Linked DNA regions of Tribolium castaneum. The protein of the gene in region 1 purifies or fractionates together with the protein of each later gene. This does not show direct contact. Links are inferred from orthologs where the notes say so. Each region holds a gene or a part of one and is shown in the gene's direction. Other genes may lie near its edges. The genes, in order: SmD2, Prp19, Sf3b3, Cdc5, noi, Sf3a1 and probable ATP-dependent RNA helicase DDX20.

What was found.
Region 2: the proteins of SmD2 (region 1) and Prp19 fractionate together in Homo sapiens (co-fractionation; 3 studies listed by BioGRID). This does not show direct contact. The link is inferred for Tribolium castaneum from reciprocal best matches to the Homo sapiens genes SNRPD2 and PRPF19.
Region 3: the proteins of SmD2 (region 1) and Sf3b3 fractionate together in Homo sapiens (co-fractionation; 4 studies listed by BioGRID and IntAct, with this or other methods). This does not show direct contact. The link is inferred for Tribolium castaneum from reciprocal best matches to the Homo sapiens genes SNRPD2 and SF3B3.
Region 4: the proteins of SmD2 (region 1) and Cdc5 fractionate together in Homo sapiens (co-fractionation; 3 studies listed by BioGRID, with this or other methods). This does not show direct contact. The link is inferred for Tribolium castaneum from reciprocal best matches to the Homo sapiens genes SNRPD2 and CDC5L.
Region 5: the proteins of SmD2 (region 1) and noi fractionate together in Homo sapiens (co-fractionation; 3 studies listed by BioGRID and IntAct, with this or other methods). This does not show direct contact. The link is inferred for Tribolium castaneum from reciprocal best matches to the Homo sapiens genes SNRPD2 and SF3A3.
Region 6: the proteins of SmD2 (region 1) and Sf3a1 fractionate together in Homo sapiens (co-fractionation; 3 studies listed by BioGRID and IntAct, with this or other methods). This does not show direct contact. The link is inferred for Tribolium castaneum from reciprocal best matches to the Homo sapiens genes SNRPD2 and SF3A1.
Region 7: the proteins of SmD2 (region 1) and probable ATP-dependent RNA helicase DDX20 purify together in Homo sapiens (affinity purification with mass spectrometry; 3 studies listed by BioGRID and IntAct, with this or other methods). This does not show direct contact. The link is inferred for Tribolium castaneum from reciprocal best matches to the Homo sapiens genes SNRPD2 and DDX20.

The regions. Positions count from the first base shown.
Region 1 is NC_087395.1:17,190,616-17,193,295, reverse strand, and holds SmD2 (probable small nuclear ribonucleoprotein Sm D2), read left to right. Parts: upstream 1-1,478; 5' UTR 1,479-1,578; coding exon 1,579-1,935; 3' UTR 1,936-1,959; downstream 1,960-2,680. Other genes in the region: serine-rich adhesin for platelets, read left to right, coding at 623-718; Vps51 (vacuolar protein sorting-associated protein 51 homolog), read right to left, coding at 2,216-2,324, 2,370-2,482. UniProt on the Homo sapiens protein: Plays a role in pre-mRNA splicing as a core component of the spliceosomal U1, U2, U4 and U5 small nuclear ribonucleoproteins (snRNPs), the building blocks of the spliceosome.
Region 2 is NC_087395.1:23,125,939-23,130,592, forward strand, and holds the start of Prp19 (pre-mRNA-processing factor 19), read left to right. Parts: upstream 1-1,470; 5' UTR 1,471-1,478; coding exon 1,479-1,602; intron 1,603-1,724; coding exon 1,725-1,874; intron 1,875-1,918; coding exon 1,919-2,382; intron 2,383-4,636; coding exon 4,637-4,654. UniProt on the Homo sapiens protein: Ubiquitin-protein ligase which is a core component of several complexes mainly involved pre-mRNA splicing and DNA repair. Required for pre-mRNA splicing as component of the spliceosome.
Region 3 is NC_087394.1:10,470,111-10,474,818, reverse strand, and holds the start of Sf3b3 (splicing factor 3B subunit 3), read left to right. Parts: upstream 1-1,647; 5' UTR 1,648-1,931; intron 1,932-2,199; 5' UTR 2,200-2,212; coding exon 2,213-2,649; intron 2,650-4,708. UniProt on the Homo sapiens protein: Component of the 17S U2 SnRNP complex of the spliceosome, a large ribonucleoprotein complex that removes introns from transcribed pre-mRNAs.
Region 4 is NC_087400.1:3,566,772-3,571,246, reverse strand, and holds the start of Cdc5 (cell division cycle 5-like protein), read left to right. Parts: upstream 1-1,285; 5' UTR 1,286-1,490; coding exon 1,491-1,932; intron 1,933-2,076; coding exon 2,077-2,763; intron 2,764-3,553; coding exon 3,554-4,475. Other genes in the region: Yod1 (ubiquitin thioesterase Otu1), read right to left, coding at 1-177, 228-917.
Region 5 is NC_087397.1:5,206,050-5,210,516, reverse strand, and holds noi (splicing factor 3A subunit 3), read left to right. Parts: upstream 1-1,743; 5' UTR 1,744-1,886; coding exon 1,887-1,982; intron 1,983-2,034; coding exon 2,035-2,241; intron 2,242-2,290; coding exon 2,291-2,363; intron 2,364-2,420; coding exon 2,421-2,734; intron 2,735-2,783; coding exon 2,784-2,920; intron 2,921-2,968; coding exon 2,969-3,308; intron 3,309-3,359; coding exon 3,360-3,561; intron 3,562-3,610; coding exon 3,611-3,744; 3' UTR 3,745-3,797; downstream 3,798-4,467. Other genes in the region: NF-kappa-B essential modulator, read right to left, coding at 1-1,468; neuropathy target esterase sws, read left to right, coding at 4,185-4,289, 4,340-4,433. UniProt on the Homo sapiens protein: Component of the 17S U2 SnRNP complex of the spliceosome, a large ribonucleoprotein complex that removes introns from transcribed pre-mRNAs.
Region 6 is NC_087397.1:12,582,656-12,587,197, reverse strand, and holds the start of Sf3a1 (splicing factor 3A subunit 1), read left to right. Parts: upstream 1-1,511; 5' UTR 1,512-1,586; coding exon 1,587-1,680; intron 1,681-1,753; coding exon 1,754-1,918; intron 1,919-4,542. Other genes in the region: peroxidase, read right to left, coding at 431-470. UniProt on the Homo sapiens protein: Component of the 17S U2 SnRNP complex of the spliceosome, a large ribonucleoprotein complex that removes introns from transcribed pre-mRNAs.
Region 7 is NC_087394.1:23,203,683-23,207,366, reverse strand, and holds the end of probable ATP-dependent RNA helicase DDX20, read left to right. Parts: intron 1-1,080; coding exon 1,081-2,786; 3' UTR 2,787-2,849; downstream 2,850-3,684.

The DNA.
Region 1 (2,680 bases):
ATCAACTTTAGATATTTAGTAAATTTATTTATAGGATTTTTTTTTAATGGGTGAACGAAGATTATTAAAACTGTAACAGAAAATATACTTCTGCCTGGACTCTTCTTTTATCAGAAAATTTATGAAATTGGAACTGTTGTTAAGAAAAAATCTAAGGACTAAAGATGAGATTCGATGTCATTCGAAAAATATGTGTAGTAATGCCGCCGTTGATTGGTTTGATTGCATGATTGGTACCCCTTTACTCTCTAAAACATTACAAAATTAACACTAATAGCAAGTGCTTGGAAAATTTTCGCGTATAAACGCCCGGAAAATCATTTCCAAATCAAACTCCTCTACATAGAACTACTCTACATTTCCCCAAAAATTACCTGAGCAAAAGTCCACTCTTATAAACACTTGCGTCAAAAATAGAAAATTGCCCAACACAAACAATATCATTGAATACAGCGCGTGTATCTCGACACAAGAGGCATTCAGCAAGCAGCCGTAAGCATCGGCTATTATCCTATTTAGTCCGAAGTGGCCCCTAACGAGATTTAAATATGTTCATCGTCGATGTCAAACATATGAACTTTATTCCATTCATCTGGTCAATTGATTAATTGAATTAAGGTAGGCACACGAAGACCGAACTCATGAAAAACGAAGCCTCAAATGCGGGACCTTAGACGGGCGGCGACAGGAAACGCCGCAAATGAGGAAGTCGAATTAAGAATTATTAAATCTGACAACGTGTGACAAGAAAACAGACTTTTTTTGGTGATTTTCATCCATGCGGTATAAAGCAGCCAGACCGAGGAGATTTCAAAAACATCACCTTCGGCGCAACTACTTAATACCGGGTGGACAAGAGGCTTTCTTCTGGTGCGTTTCTTCAAGTATTTAATTTATATAGCGGGACGGGGTGGTTTATCGGCTCCTCACTGCATTTTAATGATTATTCTATTATTATTTGCGTTGGCATTGCTTGTATACTTAAATAAACACGCTGCTGGAATAATTACTTGCACTGGTTATCTCTTATTGTTATACTTACTATAAATAAAGAGTGATTATTGTTTATCGTAATTATTTAATTTTCGATTCTGGGGCTAACAAATTGCTGGGAATTAAACTCCCTTCGTTGGAAAAATGCACTGCAATACTCGTATTTGCAATATTTATTACATTTTCTAGTTAAATTATAATAAACGGTGCATTCCCCTATCTGATTCATTAATAGCTTGTTGCTCTTATATTTAACGTCTTCATCTCAATGGATTATAAATTGGTTTATTTGCTCGATTTTGTAATTAGTTTTTAGATCGTGGTTTTTGAGTATGTTAAAACTCTTAATTAATTATTCAAAAGAGTAATCTTAATGTAACTTTAAATGTGAGAAGAATAATTGTTGATTTAATTCGAAGTTTGTTTTCTTCACTTTAAATGTTTGAATCTGCCGCCATAGTATTAAACCCAGTTTGCGCATGCGCATTGCAAAATTCCCCAAACGCATCCAAAACGCTCAAATTCCTAACCTAACTATTTTTGTGCCGGAAAAAGTGTTGTTTTAAGTGCAAAAACCGAGTCAGAATGGCTTTAACGAAACCCAAGTCTGAAATGACGGCCGAGGAGCTTCAGGCTCGCGAGGAGGAAGAGTTCAACACGGGCCCCCTTTCGGTGCTCACTCAGTCGGTGAAGAACAACACTCAGGTGCTGATAAACTGCCGAAACAACAAGAAATTGCTGGGGCGGGTGAAGGCGTTCGATCGGCACTGCAACATAGTGTTGGAGAATGTGAAGGAAATGTGGACAGAGCTGCCCCGGCCTGGAAAGGGGAAGAAGAAAGCCAAGCCGGTAAATAAGGATCGGTTCATTTCGAAAATGTTTCTGCGAGGCGATGCGGTTATTATAGTTGTAAGGAACCCCCTAGCTACGGCTAGTGGTTAATTAGGAATAAAATTTGTATCTTCAGTTTAGTGTTTATTGAGGAAATTCACTTACCTATCACTTCACTCGTGTGGTCCTTCTGTTCTGCGGTTGATTGATACCGCGAACGTGATACTGTGGAAATATCACATTCATGTCGTTGCAAATGAAAGATTGAACGGTTTTTTAACATTTATCTATAAAAATAATACAACAAAATGTGATAAAATTTCTCCTTTTTATTTAAACAAGATAATACAAAAGAATAATAAATATTTGTAACTTATGCAAGCTGCATGACCTAACCCCTTTCACATATGATGTCCACAACGCTTGGTTCCATTAAAATCGGTTCCAGGCACCTGTGGACTGCTGATCCCAAAATCTCATCCAGGAGGAAATGAACCAAGCTGGAAAATTCAATTAATTTCACTAAATTCAAATTCGTGACGTACTTTTCATCCGCAACAAATCGCCACAAATACAACTGCAAGTAATGCGTGTCCACTTGAATTTGTTGGAGGCCAAATTTACTAAAAGTCTTCAGACGTACGCACTCCATGAACGTCTAGAAATTATTTTTTGATTAAATGCTTCAACCCTCCACAAAATGATGCCTTAATAAACTAGCCTCTGCTGTAAATTATCGGAATGCCAACTAGATGTAGTTCAGTTTACAGAAAGCGCAAGTAAAATTTAATTCAGAATTAAACATTTATTTTGCATTGTCAAATGTTAAGTTAATTAAAGGAAAATGTTATTTTTT
Region 2 (4,654 bases), about 5.9 Mb from region 1:
GTTGAAAAGTCAGTTTGAGTGACTCATTTTAAATTCAGTAACTATTAATAAAATCAAACACTCAAACAATTTATTGCCACGTAATAATTTTGTCTTTAATTTCAATGAATGAAAGTGGCTTGCTCAAAATTTAATGCAAAGAAACATTTTTTTTTTGGTTTCTTTTTTATTATTATTATTTTTTATGCTACAAACGGTAGCCAACGTGGAAGCGAAACACAGGTACGTCCATTTTATTGTTGTGTCGTATTTATTTATTTCACAAACCAATAATTCGTTAAAATTTAATTGCAAATAAAATGTTGTGTACACCGGCTCTAATACGGTGTTGAAAAGTCATAGTTTGAGTTTTAAATTCAGTAACTAAAAAGAAAACACTCAAACAATTTATCGTCGCGTTTTGATTTTGTCTTTAATTTCAATCGATGAAAGTCACTTGCTCTAAATTTAATGCAAACATTTTTTTTTGGTTTCATTTTTATTATTATTATTTTTTTAATGCTACAAACGGTAGCCAACGTGGAAGCGATATGAAGGTAGGTGTATTTATTTACTGAAGTTTTAAATTTAAATTGCCACATATTAAAACGTATTGTGTATTTTTTATTTTGTTTAATATTGACAAATGTTGCTTGTTGTAACTTTCATGCAAATAAAGATTTTTTATTGGTGTTGTTTTTATTTTTTAATGTCTTGCTACAAACAGTAGCCAACGCAGAAGCCATATGAAGGTAGGTGCATTTTTTTGCGTTTTATCTTGTGATGTGTTGAATTTAATAGCTTGTGTGCCATATATTATACCGTATTGTGCATCCTTTATTCTGTATAATATTTATTAGTGTCGCTTTTTGTAACTTTCCTACAAATTATTTTTTTTTGTTGGTTGTGTTTTTAATTTATTTTTTAGGTTTTGCTACAAATGGTAGCAGATGCAGTATAAAGGTAAGAACATTTATTTAACGCCAAGTGAAAAACTTTGATTTTTGTGTACTTTTTTTTTATTACACAAACCAGTAATGTCTTTATTCCCTTTTATTTTCCAATAATCATTGTTTACCTCATCCTTATTTCCTTTTTTCCTGGCAAGAATGCTCTAAACCTCCACGTGGTTCTTGCTGGACAAATTAGTTATTAATTTGACTGATTAGAGCAATCTTTAAATACGAATTTTTTTAACGCAGTTTGCAAAATTGAGACATTTTTTTACAGCCGAAGGCCCTATCGAAGGGCTTATTCCCCTACAAAAATAATGAACATTGCACGGTAAAAAGGGGGTGAAAAAAAACAATTTGCATTGCTTGAATATAAGAATAAAAATGTAGTCAAGTTTTAATTTGTAATAGAAACACATTAGAATGATCAGGGTATGTTTTTCTAATGATTTACGATTATTTTGATAATTTTCCTGGTGTGAACTTGGCTGTAGAAACGAGAATGTTGCTAGCTCCAGGCGCGCAACGATTGTCTGGTCGACTGTAATGTTCATGGTGCCATCATCATTTTTAGTGCATCTGCACAGATATCTCGGCCACAGTGTTTTTCACTTTGTGCGGTTGGCGACACATCAAGCTAAGTTAGCAAAAATGGCGTTGTTTTGTGCCCGTAAGTATGAATTTTTGTTGCGATTTTGAATAAAGTACGCTTTTTTAACGAATCAAAACTTAATTCGAGTGTCAGTAATGAGCTTCTGGCGCAGTTTGGGTAACGATTTGGCCCGGTTTCAGTTTCAAACGAGGTGCCGGAACACCCAGTCGTGTCCCCAACGTCGGGTGCGATTTTCGAAAAACGCATCATCGAAAAGTACATCCAGGAGCACGGCAAGGACCCCATCAGCGGTGACGAGCTCACCGTGGACAAGCTCATTGAAATTAAGAGTGAGTAGCCTAACCCAACTTGTTCGGTTCTAACCGCCACACAGCCCCGCCGATAGTCAAGCCGAAGCCGCCGAGCGCCACCAGCATCCCGGCCACGCTGAAGCTGCTGCAGGACGAGTGGGACGCCGTGATGCTGTACAGCTTCACGCAGAGGCAGCAGCTGCAGACGGCGCGCCAGGAGCTGAGCCACGCGCTCTACCAGCACGACGCCGCGTGTCGCGTGATCGCGCGCCTCAACAAGGAGGTGACCGCCGCCAGGGAGGCGCTGGCCACGCTGAAGCCCCAAGCGGGCATCATCACGGTGCCGCAGCCCGCGGTGGCGGCCGAGGCCGGCGGCATCGCCAACCAGCCGACAGAGCAATGCGGCCTGACTGATGAAGTGATTGAGAAGCTGCAGGACAAGGCCACGGTGTTGACGCAGGAGAGGAAGAAGAGGAGCAAGACGGTGCCTGAAGAGGTGTCCACGCCGGAGCAGTTGAGGGGATTCAAGACTTTGGCCTCACATCCGGTATATTTTCAATGTTTTTATTTATACCATCCAGTATTTCCCCGAACATCTCTTGCATTTTGCACAATTGTCGTTTTAAAAATTTCACTTGACAAATGCAAAGATTACTAAATGTGGTAGAAAATGACTTAGTTTTCTCTCTTACGAGTGTTTTAGCACATTTACCAATTGGAAAAACGTGTAAAGGTTGGTGTTATTTTGCTGGATTTACTCGATTTAGCTTGTTATTGGGCGAAATTTCATCAAAAATAAGCCAAAAGTCACAGGATGTGTTCAAAACACTGATATTTTTTAACTAAATGTTCGTTCAAATAAAAGAATTTCTTTCTAACCTAATTCTAATTGAATTGAGCCAAAAATGCGTTGTTTTTTTTAAGTAAATATCTAAATATTTCAATAAAGTGATCGAAAATGATGTCATTTCAGGTTGTTTATCTCGAACTTATTCTGAGAAATCAGGAAATTAATTTGGGAAATCTTCTATTTTCGTAATACATTTTGCAGTCAAAAAGCAAAATTTCGTTGAAATCTTGTTATTTTTGCCATTTTCCGGCAATTTAATTCGTATAACATTCGACAATGTAGTTATTTCGAATTTTTTTTTTAAGATAAGAGCGAAAATGTTACATTTTTTTGTTGTTTTCAAGTGTTTTAAATTTTTTTTGAAAACAATTTAAGCTTTTTTCTATAAACATTACAAAAACTTAATAAAAAAGCACTATTTTTACATCAAGATGGTTGTTATTTTAGACCATTCCCTTCGATTTTGTTTGTTTTTGAGCCAGGAATTTATTTATTTCCCAACAATAAAAATATAAACTTATTATTTTGTTTTTATTAACTTTGATTAACTTTCGCGAAATTCCCTTTAAAAAAAAACGCAAGAAACCACAAAATTTGATCAAAATTTTTACGTTTTTTAAGCTTTAGAGCACGTTTTTGAATTTAATTTTCAGCTTTTTTGGCGAAATTTTGCAAAACCAACTGAGAAAAACATGCAGAAATAATTTTTCTGTTTTTTGAGGCTTTTCTAAAAAGGTAGATGAAAAAAACACCAAATTAATTCTAAGATTTTATTATTTTTCGAGTTCACGAGCATTTTAGTACGCTTTTAAGACAGAACTGTTTTCCAAATTTCGTAAAAAAAATAAAAAGCCGACTCTTTTATTTTACGAGATCTTGACAAAACACCTAAAAATCAAAAACTTATTATCAGCTTATTTTTGAATGAAATGTTCCCAAAAACAAGACAAGAAACCAATGAAATTGTTAAAATTCTTATTTTTTCTTTATTCATGCTTTCAAGCACATTTGAATTTTTGTTTTAATCGCCAAATTAAATATAGAAAACTACATTAATTTTTCATTTGCGATCATTTTAATACGTTTTACACTTAAAACCACAAATATTCCGCAAAATTTCGTTCAAAACCATTCGGAAACTAATTTATTTTGTAATATCTTGTCACATAAGTGAATCGACATTAATTATTATTTAATTATTTAGTATATTTGAGTTTGAGTGAAATTCGTCAAAACTCATTATAAATAAGTCGAAAATTGTGTTAGTTTTACTTTTTTCCGGGCTGTAAGCACAAACTTTTGCTAGAATTGGCTAAAATCATCAAATTAATTAACACAATAACAAGTGTTCATTTAAAAAAAACTCTAGAGTGCTTTGAAAATAAAAAAATAATTGTTTACTATGTCTGTGATTAATCCGTTCTTTCATAACCTTACTTTTTGACAACTAAAAGAAAACAGATTTTCATCATAAAATTTATTTATTATTTATAAAAACTGTTGGAAATGTCTTCCTTGTTGTTCAACACACATAACACATCGCCTTTGAACACTATTTAACAATCTTTGGCTATGAATTGTGATGACCTGGTTGATAGGCAACCAACAATACAATGATAAAAATTGATCTACGAAATCCGTAAAAATGTCAGAGCATGCTACGAGTTTTTTTTAAATAATGAACACCTGATACCATTTATTTAGTTCGCTCTTGAACCAGGAAATTCTTCATTTCATTAGAACTCGCCAAAACTGCCAAAAATTCACTTTTAATTCAGCTCATTTTTTGACCTAAATTTGGTTAATCTTTTTTTACTTTTATTAAGGTTTTGAACCACATTTTCAGTTTGTTCAAGCAAACCGAAAAATCACCAAGTTCGGGCGAAAATTAGCAGATTACATTTTTTATTGAGCTAGAGTACACTTTACAGAGTAATTTCTTTGCCTCCAGGGGCTGCATTCGGCGAGC
Region 3 (4,708 bases), on another chromosome or scaffold:
ATATATATATTTATAATTTAATGATTTTTTAAATCCTTAATTCCAAAACAGCATAATAAATTTTTATTAATTTAAATTTTTGCAATTAATAAAAATTATTTGTTTTTATATTTAAAATGGCAAGCTTACGTTGTTATTCTATTTTACAATTTTAAACATGAAATGTCGGAAAAAGAAAAAAATAATTGTATGATTGCGTATCAATAAAATTTTATTTTACAAAAAAAATGTCAATCCAAACACCAAATCAAATTTTATCTGCGGTAAAAAAATATACAACATTATCAACGTCACCTACACATTTTTTATGTAATTAAAATCTGCGATCATCGTATATTTGTTCAATTCAAAATAACTTCAACACAGCTTATTTTTATAATTTCACATTTTTTACTTTAATAACCGTTCACAAAATTTCTAGATTATTCACACCTTTTATGTGAAATAATTTTTTCATAGCCAACTACTTTCAAATGTTTTAATATATTTTTATCATAAATATACAGCGTGCTCAAAAACTGGCGCACCAACTCAATGGTGTGTGATAGAGAAGTGGTTACATATAATGGTAAAAATAGTAAAAAAATTCTTTGTATTAAAATTATTGATAAATAACTAATTTTAAGTAATTGATATGTGGCAACGTTGTCTAATAGTCATGATCGCAATAGAATTTGAGCAACAATAAAAATAAATTATATTTGAAACGGTTTCCTAGGAAATAATTCCCAGTGTTGGCACATCTACACATTGTGATTTTTTTGGATAAATTTTAATTTTTTTATATTAAAAAAACTGCTAAAATTTGATAGTAAATTTTAAAATAATTGTTAATCGTTTTGTTACGGAACGATTACCTGGTATGAAAAATAAAAATATAAAAAAATAATAAAAACTAAAGAAATTAACACAATAAGTTTGTAGCTCCAGATTTTTTAAAATATAACTTTAGGAATTTTTTCAACATTTTTCCCGTAATCTGCACTTGCTTCTCAATAACGTACCACTGAGTTGGTGCGCCAGTTTTTGAGCACCCTGTATAAAAACATCAAACTATATTTATATTGTTTTGAGTTCAGAAAAAAAAAGCTTTTCGAAAATGTCATAGCCAACTATAATTCTCATTTAAAAAAATAAAACTTTATGTCATTACAGCTAAGCGAATGAGTAAAAAAAATCGCTGCTAACATTATTAAATTCTCTGTAAAAAAGTGCCTGTATAATGTTTTTGTTTTAAATATGTATCTTTTATAATAAGGAAGATATGATATCTTTACAATAACTTAAAATTTCATCAAACAAACGCATAAGACTATTACTGTAAATTGCATTGAACTAAAACTCTGAAAATTGTCCGGAAAATATGGTACAAAACAATAAGCTTTTTACTAGAATTTGGATTCTTATTTGCCTCAAATTGAGATAAACACAATCAAGTTCTAAATACAGTACCTACAGTACGGTAAAAACAAAAGATACATACTGGCAATATCAAACGCATAAATTGTTAAAGTATAATTTTGGCCAAAGATAATTTTCTGAAAAATTTATTTAAATTGAAATTTCCTCTCAATTTTCTGATTGGTTTAGAAATTTTGCGCTTGCGTAGTAAAAAATATAGCCAACACGCACGCGCAGTAGCACTACATTTCTTCTTTCCGTTTCCTTTCTCACTTCACCGGTGTTTGTGCGTTATTTTGCCGGTCTGTCGCCATTTGCAGTTAGTTTTTGTACTTTTTTGCTAAATAATGTATCAAAACATTGCAAAAGGTGCTTTATTATTGTTTTTTAATTAACTTAACCATCGACAAAAACGCTCAAATAAATAACCAAGTCACCACGTCACAACAATGTGAACCATGCGAAAATCGAAAATAAATGGTTGAAAAACTTTGAAATATTGAACGAAACGAAGCTCATCCACGTTCAAGGTAACAAAATTTAGCTTTGATTTTGTTTTATAATTAATCACAAGTACGTATTTTTGCCCAAATTAACGAGTTGCTTTAAAAATTTGTAATCGGATGCACTTGGTATCTCCTGTACCTATGTATTGTATACGTACAGGTCGTAAAGGGTGCTATATTATGGGGCACATCGCATCGTTGGCTCAAGCGAATTACCAAGCTAAAGCCTGGTTTTAGTGCCCCACATTTTCAACTAAAAAATGATACGTTCTAACCTCACTTTTCTTCCTAGATAAGCCCCCAAAATGTATCTCTACAACCTGACCTTACAAAGGGCCACAGCCATCACCCACGCCATCCATGGCAATTTTTCCGGCACCAAAATGCAAGAAATTGTCATTTCACGTGGCAAAAGCTTGGAAGTGCTACGGCCTGACCCCAACACCGGTAAAGTCCACACGCTTCTAACCGTCGAAATATTCGGAGTCGTCCGCTCGTTGATGTCGTTTCGACTCACCGGAGGCACCAAAGACTTCGTCATCGTGGGCTCCGACTCCGGCAGAATCGTTATTCTTGAGTATATCCCGTCTAAAAACAACTTCGAGAAGGTCCACCAGGAGACGTTCGGCAAATCGGGGGTCAGACGTATTGTTCCAGGCCAGTACCTAGCCACTGACCCTCGAGGACGTGCTGTAATGATAGGCGCCGTCGAGAAACAAAAACTCGCTTACATTTTGAATAGGTACAAATTTTTTATTAAAGTATTTTTGTTCTGTAAAAATTAATGAATGCACAAAAAACGTGCGGTCTTTATTAGTTAGTTTTGCGGAAAACTATTTTAGAAAGTTATAATTACATCTGCATCTGAGTGACATTTTTGGAGTGCGATTTGTGCAAAATTGTAAGTTTCTGTAAAAGAAAAAAAGTTTGTGCTAAGAAAACCCACCAGAAACTCAATTTGCGTTACATTTTACTCCAAAAAATGCAAATACGTTTTTGCAAAATTCTACGACCTGAAATGGGATATACCTACTTAATTAAAAACAAAACGAAATAGATTACCACAATTAAAGAATACATTATCAAGCCCCAGTGAGTTTTGTGTCAAATTCGAAACTTTTGTATAGTTTTACTGTATTAAAGAATGAATTTTGTAAAAACAAATAGAAATTGCTGTTTAAATTTTAAATGTGACAGTGCGGGAAAGCTATTTTTAAAATTTTTGGCAATCAGTTCTGCATTTAGACGGCTCGGATAATCCGTACGATTCTATTAACCGAACTCCCAAATTAAGTAAAATAGTATACATAATCCGAATTACCATTCATTTATTTTGACTTTTAATTATTTTGTCGAAAAAAGTATTTGTTTAAAATACACTATCGGACAAAAGTAAGGCAACATGTTGAAAAATATACAAATATTGGTATTTTAAATTTTAAGAGTTGGTATTTACCTTCAATTTAATTTTATAATAAACGTTTAAAGATATTCTTATTCGTGTTGAACATGGATAGCCAATGGGTAATTATTATGACATGCTACTAGCTTGAAATATAAAAAAGCCCGATATTAATGCGACAAAAGTAAGGCAACATTGTCAGAAAATATTTTCAACTCAAATTTTATTTGATTCAACATTTACATAACACTACCCAACACTAAAGTTTAAATAAATAGAACGAAAAATTCAATAATTTATGACATAGCCGTTATTAAGTATAATTTTTTGGCACCGTCTGGGCATTGAAGAAATTAATTTTTGAATAACATTTTCATCCAGATTTGACCACACTTCTTTGATTTTATCTATCAAAGATTGCTTGTTGGGAAATTTTTGTATCCGGATTCGTCGCTCTACCTCTTCCCATAAGTTCTCAATTGGGTTGAGGTTTGGTGATTGGGCAGGCCATTGCAAAACATGAATATTATTATTTTGGAACCACTCACTGACCAATGCAGAAGTGTGTTTGGGGTCGTTATCTTGCTGAAAGATAAAACGAAGAGGCATTTCCCATTCTGCATACGGCAGCATTACATCTTGGAGTATGTCCTTATGGATGAACCGATCCATATTACCCCCAATAAAGCTCAACGGACCCACACAATTCCACGAAAAACACCCCCACAGAAAAACGCTACCATGACCATGTTTAACAGTGGGTGTAACATACTTGGGGTTGAATCGTGTATTGATTGGCCGTCTCACACGTTTCATTCCATCCGAATTAAATAATTTGTATCGAGTTTCGTCACTAAACAGAACTTTCCTCCAATCTTGCTTTGTCCAATTCAAATGTTCTCTTGCAAATTGAAGTCTGGCGCGTCTATTTCTTTCGGAAATCAAAGGTTTTTTAGCAGGACGTCTACTAAAAAGCTTTGCTGCAACCAGTCTTCTTTGAATTGTTCGTGTACTAACTCCTACTTCCGGTATTTCCGCTATAATTTTAGATGCAGATTTCCATGGATCGTTTTCCGAAATTCTTTTAATGCGTCTGTCCATGTTTATAGTGGTTTTTCGTGGTCGTCCCGATTTTGGATTATTGTTTAAATGTCCTCTTTCGTTGTAGCGAATAATTATTTTAGACACGCTGTATCTAGGCAGTTGAAATCTTCTTGCAATATCCGCTTGTTTTTCATTGTTTAAGAAAGCATCGATCACTCTTTCTTTCAACTCTTTACCAATTGGTGTACCCGTTGGCATGGCTCTTGTTGCGCAAGACGAACTGTTAATATTGGCCTAACAAATTTTTCATTATAACAACATTTTTTGAAAAAAATCTAAATGTTGCCTTACTTTT
Region 4 (4,475 bases), on another chromosome or scaffold:
CGCATGCTCCCTTGCCTGCAATTGTCCATTAAGGAAAATATTACAATTCATGCATTTTAGCGTAAATTTGTTAACATCAGTGAATTGTCGACTCGACTTCGCCTCGCGCGCTAATTCCTGCGCCTCTTGTAAAACCTTATCATCATCAGTGGGAAAAATCGTCTGAATACTCGCCCCCTGAAACGAATCAAATAATTTTTTGATAACCCCCTGAGTAAGGAAATTACATCGGACGATTCCAAAAAAAGGGGGTCATAGTGTATACCATCAAACATTAGAAAAATTCGAAGTGTGTAATGCTGGTCTTCCCCGAACCGGTTGATAATAGCGTTGATCGTGTCTACGACGGCAATTTCGAACCCATAGTGATTCGAGAGAATGGCCAACTCGATGGCGCCCCCCCATGACTTGTCGTCCTGGATCCAGGCGCAATACTCACGGTTGGGTTTCCCCAAAATCGCCTCGGAAAACATCTCGGGGTCGCTGGCCACCGTTTCGGCAATCACTTGTCTCATGTAGGGGGCTGCCGTGCCACTCTCGTCCAGTTTCCCGTTCAGGGCGAAGTAAACACTACTGAAAAGACACGAGTTGTCGGCCGGCACCACCTTCTTCATCAGAATCCCCGGACAGTCGACACTTTCACTGATATGGCCCCGCAAGGGGGGCGCAGTCTCCCGGGCCTTCTCCTCCAAAATCAGGGTATCGCCCGACTTGAGACCACTGCGACTCAACTCGAGACCATCGTCCCCCAAGGCGAACGCCTTCGGGGGGAACCCTGACAACACATGGAGCCTGTCCTCGGGGATCTGCGATATGGAGCACAACTGGCGCTTCAAATCTTTGATCGTGTGCTCAGGTGTTAGGTTTTTGATCACTTGTTGCCCCGTTTTGGTTTTGACGCGCAAAGCGAACGACATGGTGCTCTCTGGGGGCTAATAACAATGACAGTTGGGAGTGACAAGTGACAGGAGAAGTGAGGTTAAGGGCGAAATTAAGGGCTTGGGGCCCGAATTTAGACGATTGGGGCGAAAGGGGGCAACACTTGGGCGCTTTATCACCGAGATAACATTTCAAAAGGGTTAAATAAACACAGGGATTTGGGGGGGCTAGGGACTTTCGCCGACTGACGCGAGATACCAACCACACTTTTTTAATTATTTCAAGACAGGAAAAAATTATCACGTTTTAGATCAGTCTCGTGTCACGATTAATACGTTCTAAGTACGGTTCTGATTATTTTTAATCCCCAATTTTTGTTTTTTCTCGACTAACAGTTATGCCAACTCAAGGACGGCCATTTTTATAACCAAAAATCAAGCCGTTTAAAAAGGGCCGTTTTTTGCATTAGTGTCCCAAAATAATTACTTCTTATCTAATTAGTGACTCAATAGTGTTGACCCAAGCATCATTATCGTGCTTTTAGTGGTATTGTTATAAAATTTAAGTTTTTGTCAAAAGTGAGGTTAGGTTTTTAACTAAAGAGTGCAAAAATGCCGCGTATAATGATAAAGGGGGGCGTTTGGCGCAACACCGAGGATGAGATCCTCAAAGCGGCGGTAATGAAATATGGGAAAAACCAGTGGTCTCGAATTGCCTCGCTCCTTCACCGCAAATCGGCCAAACAGTGTAAAGCGCGTTGGTTCGAATGGTTGGACCCCAGTATTAAAAAAACGGAATGGTCGCGGGAAGAGGACGAAAAGTTGCTACATTTGGCCAAGTTAATGCCGACTCAGTGGCGCACGATAGCCCCCATAATCGGGCGAACGGCCGCTCAGTGTTTGGAGCGCTACGAGTACCTCCTGGATCAGGCACAGAAGAAGGAAGAAGGGGAGGATGTCACGGACGACCCCCGGAAGCTCAAACCGGGGGAAATTGACCCCAATCCGGAAACCAAGCCTGCGAGGCCCGACCCCAAAGACATGGACGAGGATGGTAAGAGCTAACAAATGGGGTACATTTTTCTCAGTTTCAAAACACGAATTCAAAAATGCAATAAAAATTTCAAAACCGCAAAAGAATCACCCTGTATAGTATACTATAACGCAAAAAGGTTGGCACGCGTGTTTGTCGTTGCAGAGCTGGAGATGTTGTCCGAGGCGCGCGCCAGGCTTGCCAACACCCAGGGCAAAAAAGCGAAGCGAAAAGCGCGCGAAAAGCAGCTGGAAGAAGCGCGTCGATTGGCAGCACTGCAAAAAAGGCGCGAGCTTCGAGCTGCCGGCATCGAAGTGAATTCGCGTCGTAAGAAAAAACGCGGTGTTGACTACAATGAGGAAATCCCCTTCGAAAAACGTCCAGCGATTGGTTTTTACGACACTTCCACCGAAATTGTTGATCCAATGGCGCCCGATTTTCACAAAATGCGTCAACAACATCTCGACGGTGAACTGCGAAGCGAACAAGAAGAACGCGAACGTCGCAAAGATAAACAAAAATTAAAACAAAGAAAAGAAAATGATATTCCACAAGCGATGCTACAGAATCAAGAACCGGCGAAAAAACGCTCGAAATTGGTACTTCCCGAGCCGCAAATTAGCGATCTGGAGTTGCAACAAGTCGTAAAGTTGGGTAAAGCGAGTGAAGTTGCACGTGAAGTTGCAGCAGAGAGTGGAATCGAGTCGACTGATACGTTGTTCAATGATTATACGGTGGCGGCGCCACAAGCGGCAGCGGTGACTCCCCGAACTCCGGCACCGCAAACTGATCGGATACTTCAAGAAGCGCAAAATGTCATGGCTTTGACGCATGTGGATACCCCACTCAAAGGTAAAAAAAAAATCACAAAAAAATAAATAAATAATGACGTAACTCGAAGAGGAGCGAAAAAATCGAAAAATTTTATTCTTGAAAAAAAATTGCAATTTTGTAGTAGTTTACCGTCCACCAATCTGTTTTTTCAAAAAGTGAATAGTTTCGCCAAAAAATACTAAATTGCAAAGTTTGCCTCACCCGCTATATTGCTCAAAAATATCCCGAAATTAAGAACTTTTGTAAGTTCTTGATTTTTAAAAATGTGCGTAATAATAATTAAGAAAGGTACAAATAAATTAAAAAAAAATTTTTTTTTTCTTATAATACGAGCTAAATATAGAGATACAGTTAAAAGTTTTACTTTGTCACCTACCAATAAAAAAACTATTTAAGTCACAATAACTGAATACCCTGCCAAGAGCATGCCTATGTGACTTAAAATTGTTTGAAGATTCCAAATCTGTCTTTATTGGATGAAATATCAATTTTCTTGTTCATAATATGTAAAAAAAATAAAAAATAAAAAAATGAAATTGACATTAAATGACTTGTAGTTCTTTCTTTTTATTACTTTATTTGTCTCAATAACTTAATAACCAATAAAAAAATTTCTAGGTGGGTTACTACCTAAAAAATACCATAACTTCAAAACGAACGAAAAAATTAAAAAACTTTATACTTTGAAAAAAGTCCCATTTTTATAGTAGTGTACCATCCACTAATAACTTTTCCCAAAAAGTTAATAGTTTAGTCGCAAAACGCCAAACTGCAAACTTTGCCTCACCTTGTATATCTCTTTCAAAAGGGGGCCGAAACACGCCACTTCACAACTCGGATTTTTCGGGCGTTTTACCACAAGCCCTCACCATAGCCACTCCCAATACGGTCCTGGCGACCCCTTTCGGGGCCCAAACCCCCGGTTTCATGACACCGCAGGGCCCCCAAGGCAGTTTTACGCCTTCAGTTCGTGACAAACTCAATATAAATGAGGAAAACACCGAAATGGTGGCACAAACTCCAGCCGAACAGCGTTCGCTCCAAAACAATTTAAAAGAACAACTAAGACTAGGCTTAAGTAGTTTACCGACACCGAAGAACGACTACGAAATCGTCGTTCCCGAACAGGAAGAAGAGGAAAAAGAAGAAGAAAAAACGCCAAATATTGTCGAAGATCAGGCAGATGTTGATGCGCGAGCGCTTGAAGAAGCGAAAATTCGGGCGGCTCAGGAGTTAGCCCTGCGGTCGCAGGTGATTCAAAGGGGGCTGCCGCGCCCCCACGATGTAAATTTGGCCGTTTTGCGGCCGAATCACGAGTCGCATTCGTTGACCGAGCTGCAGAAAGCCGAGGAATTGATCAAGTGTGAGATGGTGACAATGTTGCAATTTGACAATTTGAAAAACCCTAACCAAGTCAAGCGCTCGGCTTTGGCTCAGGCCCAGCAGTTGGCATTCCTGGAACAGCACCCGTATGACGATTTCAAATCGGATGATTTAAAACTTGCCAAACAATTATTGAAACGTGAAATGGAAATTGTAAAGTATGGAATGGGCCATGGGGAATTACCTTTGGAGGCATACACCCAAGTTTGGGAGGAGTGTCTGGGACAAGTGCTTTTTGTTCCAAATTTAAACAAATACACGAGGGCTAATCTAGTGTCGAAAAAAGAGCGGTTAGAATCGGCGGAAAAAAGACTGGAACAGAACCGCTCACATATGGCGCGCGAGGC
Region 5 (4,467 bases), on another chromosome or scaffold:
CCAATGACTGGTAATTATTAAATCCGAACGAGCACTTGGGGCACTGATACCCCTCGGCCCTCGGCGGCTCGTTCCTCGCCCTCAGCCTCTCCACTTCATTCTGCAGTTGTTTGTTCCTCGTTTGCAGATTCTGCAAATCTTCAACAACCTGGTCCTTCTCTTGTTTCATCGCAAGTTTGCTCTTCTTCTCTGCTTCAAAATCGTTCTTATACACTTCGATTTGTTCCTTCAATGCGAACATTTCGTCGTTGGCACTTGTATTTTCTTGAAGTAGTTTACGCAAATCTTCGATTTCTTTAATCTTCTGTTCCCTTTCCTGTTCCAATGCTGTGATTGTCCTTTGGGCAACGCTCAACTGGGCCCGGGATTGGGCATAATCTTCGGCCAAACGCGGGTTGTACTTGTCTTGGAGCTCCTTAAGTTGCGATTTTAGGGTTTTTATCTCATCACTGAGGGTGGATTCGACGAAAGCGGTGCGTTGTTGTTCTTCCTTCAGTTTCAAGATTTCCGTTTCTTTCAGTTTGAGGAGCTGGTCGTAGGTTTGGGCTGCCGTCGATGATTGGACGAGTTTTGCGTTTTCTTTTGTTAAATTATCCAATTTTGATTGGAGGTCGGTGGTTGTTGTCTTCATTGACTGGATTTCGTCAATTAGGTCGCTTTCGCGATTTTTTGCGGCGAGAATATCCAGTTTAAAGTCGTCAATTTGTTGCTGCTTGGTTTGTAATTCCTGTTCAAGGTTCGGTACATTCACCAATTTTTGCGTCAGTCTTTCAATTTCTTCCTGTTTCAGTTCTAAATCCTTCATCATTGCTAATTTCCTTGTGTCAACAACTGAAAAGTTGGGGCCGTTGGTCAAATTTTCCAATTCCTTAAGCTTCAGTTTCAAATTCAAGATTTCTTCTTCATGGAGCTTTTTAAGATTGATGTAAACTTCAACGTCACTAACCAACTTTGCATTTTCTTCTTTATACTTATCTATGCACATTTTGGCATCGTTGAACTTATCTTTGTAGGACTTCATCACATTGGTGACCTCATCCCTGTAGGCCAAAAACCTCGTATACTGCGCCTTCATACTCATGTTATTTTGTGCGATGATATTCTTCAACTTTTCGTTTTCCTTAATCAGTTCTTCCACTTGTTTTTGAATCTCTTCATACGACGAATCCGGCGATATTGCAATACTTGCAACTGAGGGCACAATCGCATCAACAGCTGCTGGTAATTCTGGCAACGGATCAACGGTAATTTGTGATATTTTCATCCTGATTAGATTTTCCATTTCGTGAACCTTATTTGTCCTTATTGGGGGCAAGATTTCGTCCCTTGGAGGGCTGCAAGACAAACTTTCGCTGATGGAATTTGAAGTTTCCAAAACGACAAATGAATCTTCATCATCGGACCCGATTGACGGAACCATGGACTCTGCAGTGTTTTTCACAGCAACGAAGGACTCGTCACGACTCATTTTTGATGACTTTCAAGTTTTAACAACAGCTGCAGTACAACACTACATTTGCGGCGCAAAATAGAATGAATTAGAACATAGAATATGAAAATACCAAACTACTGACACACGATTAAAGACACTGCTACCAACCGGACCAATAAAAAGTCGCCTTAGCCTTAATTTAATTTTTTAAGAATATTAAAGCTCTAAAAATGTTATTGTGGCATAACTATTTACGTAAAATTTCATTTGGGACACAACTGTAGTCGTAAAAAAATTGTAAAGTCAAAGAAAAACCGCTTAGTGATTTTCTAGTGTGACAATAATGGTGCACCTCTCTCTTATTCTACGCTGACATTTTGTCATTTTTTGACAGTCGACATTTGATGGCGTCGGGTAAATAAATAATTTTCGCAATTTTCTAAAAAAAGTCGCAATGGAGACGATTTTGGAGCAACAACGGCGTTATCACGAGGAAAAAGAGCGTCTCATTGACGCAATGGTTAAAGAAATTTTACATAAAAAAACAACGGTAAGTTGTGATTCTCGTGGCGCTTTGCCCCCTGACAGAGTCTTTGTTTTAGTACCGCGAGGCAATAAACTCGGACTATCGCCTTAAATTTCTGCTAGACAAATATATGACCTCCACTGATCGTTTGATTGAGCTGTATGAGGACAAGGACGGGCAAAGAAAAGCGGAAGTCGCTGCCCTTACAGGTCCAAATGAGTTTCAGGAGTTTTACAATCGTCTCAAGCAGATTAAAGATTTTTACAGGAAGCATCCTAATGAGGTATAGTTTTTGAATATTTTGTGTGTTTGTGTAATGATTTTTTTCTCAGATAAGTATTCCAATGTCTGTTGAGTTCGATGAACTAGCCAAAGCGCGTGAAAATCCCACTGAAGAAATGGCAAGTGAGTCTTGCTAGGCTCGTGTGATCACAGTTGTTTAATTACGTTTGTTTTTTCAAGATTTGGTTGAATTTACGGATGAGGAAGGTTATGGGAAATATTTGGATTTGCACGAATGTTACGAGAAATATATCAATTTGAAAGGCATTGAAAAGGTTGATTATATCACATATTTGGGCACTTTTGACCAGCTCTATGACATTCCTAAAGAACGCAAAACTGGAGAATATCGCAAATATTTGCTTTGCTTGATTGAGTATTTAACTTGGTTCGTGCAAAGAGTCAAACCTTTGATGGACATTGATGCTGATTTGCAAAACGAAGTTGATAATGTTATGGTCCAGTGGGAGAATGGGACTGTTCCAGGATGGCCCGTAATTTGGTAAAAAACTAATTTATTTTTACTACTTCATTTACTTTCAGAAAGAGACAGGGTCGGCCTTGGCGAACGTTGGGGCCCATTTAGACTTGTCCGCATTTTCAAGTTGGGAGGAATTGGCTTCTTTAGGTTTGGACAGATTGAAGTCGGCCCTAATGGCTCTTGGTTTAAAATGTGGCGGGTAATTATTTACGTCTTGCCATAAATAAAATTCTAATTATTTATTTAGGACGTTGGAAGAGCGTGCCCAGCGTTTATTTTCAACCAAGGGCAAAGGCTCACTAGATCCGTCTCTAATGACTAAAAACAAATCTGGCAAAGCCAGTAAGGAAAAGGAGCAAATGAGACAAAGAGAACTGGCCTGTCTTGAGGCACAAGTTTATAGGTTGGCCGAGCTGGTCGCCCCTCAACGCGCGGCAACTAAGGAAAATGTCCAGAGAAAACAAGCGCGGACGGATGGTGAAAGAGACGATAGTGAAAATGAGGAGAGTGAGGAGGAAAGTCCCGATGAAGCCGACGATGACGTTCCCTACAACCCCAAAAACTTACCTTTGGGCTGGGATGGAAAAGTATGTGATTTTGAAAGTAAGTTGGTAAAATTGATTGTTTCGTAATTGCAGCCGATTCCATACTGGTTGTACAAACTCCACGGTTTGAATATCAGTTACAACTGCGAAATTTGCGGCAATTACGTCTATAAAGGACCAAAGGCGTTTCAAAGACACTTTGCGGAGTGGAGACACGCTCATGGAATGCGCTGTCTGGGAATCCCCAATACCGCGCATTTTGCCAACGTGACGCAAATTGAGGATGCCCTAGCACGTAAGAAGTTGCAATTTTGGTTTCTTACCTTGTTACGGTTGTTTTCCAGTGTGGGAGAAGCTCAAAGTGCAAAAACAGGCAGAGCGTTGGCAACCTGAAACAGAGGAAGAGTACGAGGATTCGCAAGGGAACGTCGTTAACAGAAAGACTTACGAGGATCTTAAAAGACAAGGTTTATTGTAATTTGTGCTGTATTAACAATAAGTATCAATAAAAAACATAAACAAAACTTTAAATATTGACATTTTATTTTGATGGTCGCCTTGGGAAGGGGAATTTTCGACTGTTCGTTAGCACGAACGTACAAAACTGAGCCCGAAATAGGGATAGAGAGAGTGAAAATTATTCCTGTTACTTAAGAAATTATTCAGTAGTTTCTGCGTAAATAAATAATAATTTAAGTACTCATTTAGCGTGTTTTTAGAGTTCGGTTGAATGCACAGTCGGCTGCAATTTTTCTCACTTACCGAACGATGCGCATTTGTTTGTGCCTGTGATTTGACCAGATTTGACTTTGACACATAAGTGGGTAAATTCATCCAAATAGGTTTGTGATTTTATTCAACCTTTAATCACTAATTCTTTAATCATCAGAGTCTAATTTCTATAATGTGCGAGCTAAAATGGACGTATTAAATGCGGTATACAACTTAAACAATGAAGAAACCCTCAAGTCCAGTTGGTTCGGTGAGGTCTTCTCGAGTTTTTCGACTCAAGAGACGTACCAGGTAAGAAAACTGCGATTTGAATCAGTTTTTGCGTAATCACGGGGTTCCAGTGGGGCTTCCAGCTACTGCCCGTGTTACTGGCAGCGATTTTCGCAACGATAATTTCAGTAACGTATTTTTGCATACGAAAATGCCACCGAAAAGGTACAAATTAGTGTTTAGTTGTCTCGGTTGTAAT
Region 6 (4,542 bases), on another chromosome or scaffold:
CCACCCCACATGATGCTTCTGCGTGCTCCCTTCATCGACGACTAGAGTATTGGTTTTTAAATGGGTCACGACGCAAAAGTTATTAAAAAAAACAGTTTTGTAAATTGTATCTTTCTATAATTAAAAAAAAATATAATAATAAATAAAATCGGCGACTCTTAAAATAAATTGTTTTAAATAAATAAAAATCTAGCAAGTAACTAATGCCGCATTTTTTTAATTTAGAATGTCCCCCTTCATTTCAACCCCTTCAAATTATCAAAAAACAATTTCTAGCCCACTAGGAAATAAACCAGGCCGATGCGACTGTGGAAATTTCCGTCGCAGTTTCAAACAAAACGGAAGGAAAGCGGCCTTCCGGTATCAATCTTATAACACAAACTCACACTAATCCAACACAAAATAATCAAAAATCAAATAATTAACTCACCCATTGGAAAAATTCGATTAAAAATGAAATTTTCCCGCATATAAACAATAACAAACCACAGGTTATCAACCTTACCAACGCACAACTCCCAACTTGGAAGCGTTGGTAAAAGAGGGCAGCATAAACCACAAACGTACTGTCAAATTCTTCTGTCAATTATCTGTCTGTTTTGAAGCGTCCTCTAACGGTGTAGAGTAATTTAGCTCAAATGTTTAAACATAAATTTTTATATTTTTTTACTTTTATTATGTTTTTTAATTTATTGAACTAAATATTGATCTGTTGAAGCTGAAAACTATCAGAAGTTATAGGTACAACGTTTTTTCAAGGTTCGCTAAAATGTTAAATACTATGTTGAATATAAATTATTAGCTGTTTTAAAACTATAAAAACACCAACGTCGCATTTTACTAAATAATTTTTTTAAATAAGATTAATAAAAATGTAAAATAATTATTATTGATTAGCTTTCCCAAGTATAAATTACATTATCTATTATTTTTTTGAACTACATGAATAATTTATAACACCTAATTCAAAAAAAAATGCGACGTTAGCGTTTTTTTAGTTTTGAAACAGCTAATATATTTTATTTCAGTTTATCGCAGAATTCTGCAACAGCGCATTTGGATTTTTTGGAGTGAAATAAAGCACATATTGAAAGTTTCTTTATAAGAAAAAAATATATGTTAAGCTAAATCTCAGTAACAAATTTTGAGCCAAGAACCCAGAAACTTTCAATTTGAGCTCTACTTCACTCCAAAAAATGCAAATGCAAAATTCTACTATGAGTTGAAATGAGATATAAGCTGTTTCAAATCTATAAATTAGGTTTCATTAATCGTTCTTTTTGATCCGCAACCACAAGCGTTAGTTGTAATATAGATATTAACGTAATACATAATATTATAATACATAATAATAATACATAATATTTGTAAAAAATATAAGAAATAACTACAAAAGTAAAAAATATAAAAACAGTTTACACGCGTAAAATGTTGGTATAGAATTCTGTAAAGACCGCTTGTGGCGCCTCTAGTGGTTTGGAGTATTCATCAATTTTATTTTTTATTGCCATCTCTCTCTTCATTTTACGTTGAGCAAGCGTTTGTTAGCGTGTTTATTTAGCTTATTGTAAGAAAAAATAGTGAAAATGCCGGTTTTGGAAGCAAATAATCCAAATCCGGACGATCCCGGACCGATAAATCCAGTGGTGGGTATTATTTATCCACCACCAGAGGTGAGAAGTATCCTTTGTGAAAATTTCAGATTTGTCGGAAAATTCAGGTTAGATTGTATTTTTCCTGACAATTTGCTAAGATATCGTCGATAAAACAGCCAGTTTTGTGGCCAGAAACGGGCCAGAATTTGAGGCCAGGATCAGACAGAACGAATTAGGGAATCCGAAATTTAATTTCCTGAATCCTGGTGACCCCTACCATGCGTATTATCAGCACAAAGTCAACGATTTTCGAGAGGGGAAAGGTAAGGAACATAAAAATATATTAATCGAGTTGATCAGGTTAAAGTAGACCTATGGTTCTTTTATTAGGTTGGTCACACTGAAGAATATTTGTTCTTTAACCCGGCGTTACTCAGTTGGGGTGTGACAGACCCCAGAGTAAAAAAATGCTTTGGTTTTTTAGATAGGAATGTTATATGTATGCACCTTTCAGTAGATTGCAAAAACATTTCGAATATGATGTAATATATGATTTTCATATAATATAATATAATTTTCACCTGGCTGTTATAATATGTGTGTTGTAGCCGATTTTATGGCTCTGGGGTTTGTTACACCCCACTTACTTACGTTACTACTTTTTACCAAAAATTTTGCTCTATAAAACTAGGTAAAGATTTGACTTTTTTGAAATATTGGACTTTATGTAAAATCGAGTGTAAAATGCTTTGGTATAGTTTCAGAATAACAAACACATTCTTTGATGTGTGTGTCACACCCCACCTTAGTATTGGTGTCCTAAAAACTCACCTGAGTAACGCCGGATTAATAAAGTTTTTCAAACATTAACTAATTTTGAACACTTGTTTATAATGTGAATGTAAAGTGGAATTACTGTTTTTATGCAAAAAAAACCTTTTAGTTTACCGTTCAAGACAAATCGTTTCATTCATCATTTTTCTGCGAAAAACATTCAAGTTCAATTATAAAAAAAAATTATTCTCCTTTTTTATCATTGTTGGTATTTTCGTAGTATTATGTAGCCAAGGTCTGAAGGCGTTTCCGAGACGTAACTTTAACTTTGTAAATAAACAGTTAAGCTGTCTTATCTTTTCTCTAAACTCCATGAAAATACCAACAATTATTCAAGTTTAATGTGGTTTTCATTAAGGATCTTTTTTTTTGAAATTTTGTGAAAACTACACGTATGACATTGCTCTGGACTTCAGAATGCCAAACAAATCATTGGGTGGTATAAATAAAAATGAAGTAGATGCTAATACTACAGTCCAGTGGAGTAAAGACATGGGTGAAGTAAATGCTACTTTTTTAAGTAAATACTTTACTTTCGGGAACAAAAGACTATAGTTAAAAGTAGGCACTTCCTGTTATTAGCAGATACTTCTCCATAGTAGTATATCCCATTTCAGTTCATAGTAGAATTTTTTAACAGCGCATATGCATTTTTTAACATGAGAGTTTCTGGTGGGTTTTCTTAGCTCAAAGTGTGAATTCTTTTCTTATACAGAAACTCAATTTGGGCTTAATTTTTACTCCAAAATACTCACATCCGCTGTTGAAAAATGCAATTCTACTATGAACTGAAATTAAATATACCTACTTCGAAATATAATTAAAAAAATCAATATTTTACTTTAGACACATTACTAACAGAATCAAAAGAAAATTTGGAGTTTGAAGGAGGGCGAACAACTTCATACAGAATTTTAAAAAATATGAGTTACAGATTTCGTTTAGTTAATAGAAGAAAAATCTTTGTGAACAAAAACATGTTCTGATATCAAAAATTGTTTTTTTACGAAAATTTCTTCAGTACCAAAACTCTAAAACACTAAAAATTTTATTTTTGTATATTTGGATGAAAGGTGGATTTATCAAAATGGCAGCAATGTTCGACGGTGGGTTCACGAAGAAGACCTAAAAAGCAATCCTTCAAAAATTAAAAGTGAAGACAAAAGGTTCACTATATTATATGCGGGATGTCGGTTTGCTTTTTTGGAAGGATGTGACCTTTTAATGGATGTGGCGAATAATGACAGAGGCTATCACAAAACTATGAATGGAGAAATATTTCAAACATGGGTGATTAACCAATTAATTCCTGCTTTAGCAAAACTACCATTTAAATCTGTTGTGATAATGGATAGTGCTCCGTGTCACTCGATGCAATTGGAAAAAATGCCCACGTCGTCTTCTACCAAGGGTAAAATGTAGGTATGGTTGATTAATCATCATATAGAATTTGATTTAATACTTCACTAAAAATCAGTTGTAGGATTTAATAAAACCTTTAAAAGCAAATAATTAAAAACAGTACGTAATAGATAAAGTTTTAAATGACCATGGACATGAAGTTCTTTGATTACCCCCATATCATCGCTAGTATAACGCAATTCATTGGCATAGGGGTTTTCTAAGAACTATTATAATAAACATACAAATGAGCAACCTTTGGACAGAAATAAAGTTGCAAATCTATGGTCGGAATCACTCATAAAATGTACACCCGAAATGTGGCAAAATTTCTGTAAACACTGGGAATAATTAATTGCTTCAGATTGGACAAAACACATTGCAAATATTTCTCCATTTATTATTTCTCTAAGTGAGTCTGATTCAAAAACAGATTTTGATGTTTCAGATTCAGAAATTTAATACTTAACACTTGGAATAATTTGATGTCTAATTTGTTAAATTCTTTTTTAAAGTATTTTTTTTAATATAATTCCGCTATGTGTAAATTTCATTTCAATTAAAATTTTTGATTTTATCTAATGATATTGTTTGACTAATACAGAACCGAAAACCGGACCGCAACTTAACCTGAACTGAAACCGGAACCGTTATTTTCATTAAATTTTTTTTGAACTGTTATGGCAGAACTTTTATTTTATTTGGATCGTCC
Region 7 (3,684 bases), on another chromosome or scaffold:
ATTATTTCACATATAAGCTGTGAATAATCTAGAAATTTTGTGAACGGTTATTAAAGTAAAAAATTTGAAATTATCAAAATAAGTTATGTTAAAGTTATTTTCAATAGAACAAATATACGATCGTCGCAGATTTTAATTACATAAAAAATGTTCAGAAAACTGAAAACGATGTGTCACTACTATTTAATAACACTTTCTTATGATTTAGTGAAGTGCAATGGCGATGACGTTGATAATGTTATGTATTTTTTACTACAAAAGAGTAAAATATTTTGTAAAATAAATATTGACAGGCAATACGATTAATAAGATTTTTCTTTTTTCCACATTTCATGTTTAATTAAGAAATAGAATGACAATTTTAGCTTGCCATTTTAAATCTAAAAACAAATAATTTTTCTTAATCGCAAAAATTTGTTCTAATAATAATTTATTATGCTGTTTTTGAATTAATTAGTGTTTAAAAAATCATTAAATTATAAATACTTGTTGGGTAATATATTTTTTCATAGTTTTTATTGAAAATCGAAATTTTTTTCATGGCCTACCATAAAGAAAAAGCGAAATGTTATGTTTTCCTTAATATTTAAAAATAATGTATTACATAAATAGATATATCAAATCAGAACAAAATAAGCTTTTAAAAAATACTGCAGCCGCCTATGATTCTTATTTAAAAAAAAATAAAACTTTTTGTTATTACAGTTGAACGAAATATAAAAAAAATCGCTGACAACATTATTAAATTCTCTCTCTGTAAAACGTGACTTTGTTATAATAATATGTGAAGTCTTTGTTTTAAATAAGTATCTTTTATAATAAGGAAGATATGAATGTTTTAATATTCCACTAAAATGACAACTTTTTCGAAAGTCGAAAATAAAAGACTATAACAGGATGCGATTTTGGGTAAAATAATTCTCTCAAAAAACGGAGCCGCGAATGTGACTCGTTTTTCTTTAAATCTTTTACTTTCGGAGTTCTCCTAGTCGGACATCCAAAATGCAGCACCCTGTATATATCACGGCTGTCTTGATACACGTTATTCATTGAATAATTTGATTAATTGGCACGTTTTAGGCCTCAAAATCGAGAGTTTCATCGGTGGGAGGCCCCTCGAAGACGACTTGAAGAAATCGTCCAAGTGTCACATCGCAGTGGGGGCCCCCGGCCGAGTCAAACACTTGCTAAAAATGGGGGCCCTCACTACAAACCTCGTCAAACTATTCGTCCTCGACGAAGCCGATAAATTAATGGAGGAGAGTTTCCAGTCTGATATTAACGAAATTTACAACAGTCTGCCCCCTCGCAAACAAATGATAGTATCGAGCGCCACCTACCCACAAGAACTTGACACTTTCCTAGCCAATTACATGCAATCCCCGACTCACGTGACGTCCGAAAACGAGACCCCACTCCTACTCGGCCTTAAACAATTCGCAGCCATGCTAAGGCCCGGCCTTAACTCAGTCCAACAAATGAAAATAAAAAACGATCTTTTGATAACAATCCTAACGAAAGTTTCGTTCGTCCAATGTTTGGTTTTTACGAATTACCAATCACGGACCGAGACAGTTTCGAATTATTTGAACCAGAAGGGCTGGGATTCGGTTTTTATTTCAGCGGCGCAGAAACAAACCGAGCGGTTGGAGGCGATTGACAATTTGAAAAAATTTAAAAATCGCATTTTACTTTCAACTGATTTGACTTCACGGGGTATTGACGCCCCCAATGTCGATCTTGTGATAAATTACGACTTGCCTTGCGACGCTGTTACGTACTTGCACCGCATGGGGCGCGCTGGTCGCTACGGTTCGGGGGGACTTTGCATTAATTTCGTGTCAGAGGGGCCCGAAGTGACCAAATTGCAGCACATTCTGGGGGCCATCGGGGGGAATTTATCCATTGCCAAGCTGCCCCCATTGGAGGGGGTGGATTTGTGGCAAGTCGATTTGAAAACACTGGAACAAATAAGGGGGGTCGTGCCGTCTGACACTTCAAATGACGTTAGCGAAAATTTGAAAAGTGAGGTTATGGAGCTAAAGGAGCGCAAGGATGGGAAGAAACGTAAAAGGGTTAACCCGGAAGCTAGTCCCGATTTGCAAAAGGAGAAACGCAAAAATGATTTCTCACAGGACACTTTTTGTAAAAATCGGGGGCTTCTTAACTTGACTAAGGTTTTACTAGATCCGGGGATTAACATAGATGGGGACATTACCGACTCGGTCGATAATTACCTTAAAATTTTGAAAGTCGATGACTTGGAGGAGGAAGTCCCGGTTGTTACTCCCCAAGTGGAGGATTTTATGGAGGGAATTTTCACGGCGGCGTATGACTGTGCTATTGATAGTGGGGGGAGGAGGACTTGGACGGAATATTTGCCTTTGGAGGAGCTCGAAAAATTCCAAAACCGTGGTAAAGAACTTGATGTTGAGATAACAAATGATCTGGAGGAGGAGGAGGAGGAAGAGGTGGAAGAAGAGGAGGAAAAATGCGAAGAAGAGGAAGATTTCGAAATGGAGGAAGCAGTGCATAGGAATGACGTATCTCTCGAATGGGCTCCAGTGGTTCAGGAAGGTTCTGGCAAACGTTTTGATCAATTTTTCGAGGACTGTAGTAACGTTTTGTGGCAAAATGGTTTGACTTTTGAAACGGTTGAAAGTTTCGACGATTGGTTCTACCACTGGCAGGAGTCTCTCCAATCTGTCCGAAACTACGTCCAGCAGAACATTTACATCGAAGAAATGAGTAAATATCAAGAAAGCAGGAGACGAAGTAATAAATAACGGATGTTTCCCTGTCCCGCCTTGAGCAGTTCCTGTCATAATAAATAATACAAAACCTGTTAAGTGTGTGCGTCTTATTTTCGTGATAGCGGTTCAGTGACTCTATAACAAGAGCAATGCAAACAATAATTTTATTTTTCTGAGAACAACGAGATAATAATTCATTCGGGGTCGGCAATAAGTTGCGCAAAATAAAACCGGAAATGCGGTAAATGCATAATTAGCGAGTGCATTAACCATCTGGTAAAAGTGCATAAAACAATGAAATGCAAATGATGCGGCGGATTTTATCGGAGGTTAGATGCAATGTCGGCGTTTGATGGCCTAAATCTGAGCGTTTTTGTCGTGTCCGTTGCATGTTTCGAGGATTATCTGGATCTTAGCACGCCAGAACGAGCGCCCCAAGGTGAATAAGACGACGGCCTCGGATCGTGACACGGTGGAGAGAAACGGGAATTAGGGCTTGGGAACATTGGTAATAATTCGGAAATTATGTCACAACTATTTTATTTCATTTGTACACAAAAATAATAGTATATTATGATACGAACGAGTTTTGTAAGACGCATTTTGTCGCACGCACGAATTTAGGAGTAAGTGCGACAAAATGCTTTATAAATGTGGTAACATACAGTATTTTTAGCAAAAAAGTTCAAGTTCGAAATTTAAGGGATTTTGTGACAGTTGACTGCACTTGCGCGGGTCATGAAATTAAATTAATAACTTGGCCATTACTTTATTCGTAAAAATGTATTCTGAAAGTGTCCAAGACGTTTTGCAATGGACTATGGACCCCTCAACCAATCCATACGCGGAATTTAAAAAATGGACTATGAAGAATAGGATCCCAAATTACTTACTTCACTTACTTGCATTTGCTTTTGAACAGTTATGCTTA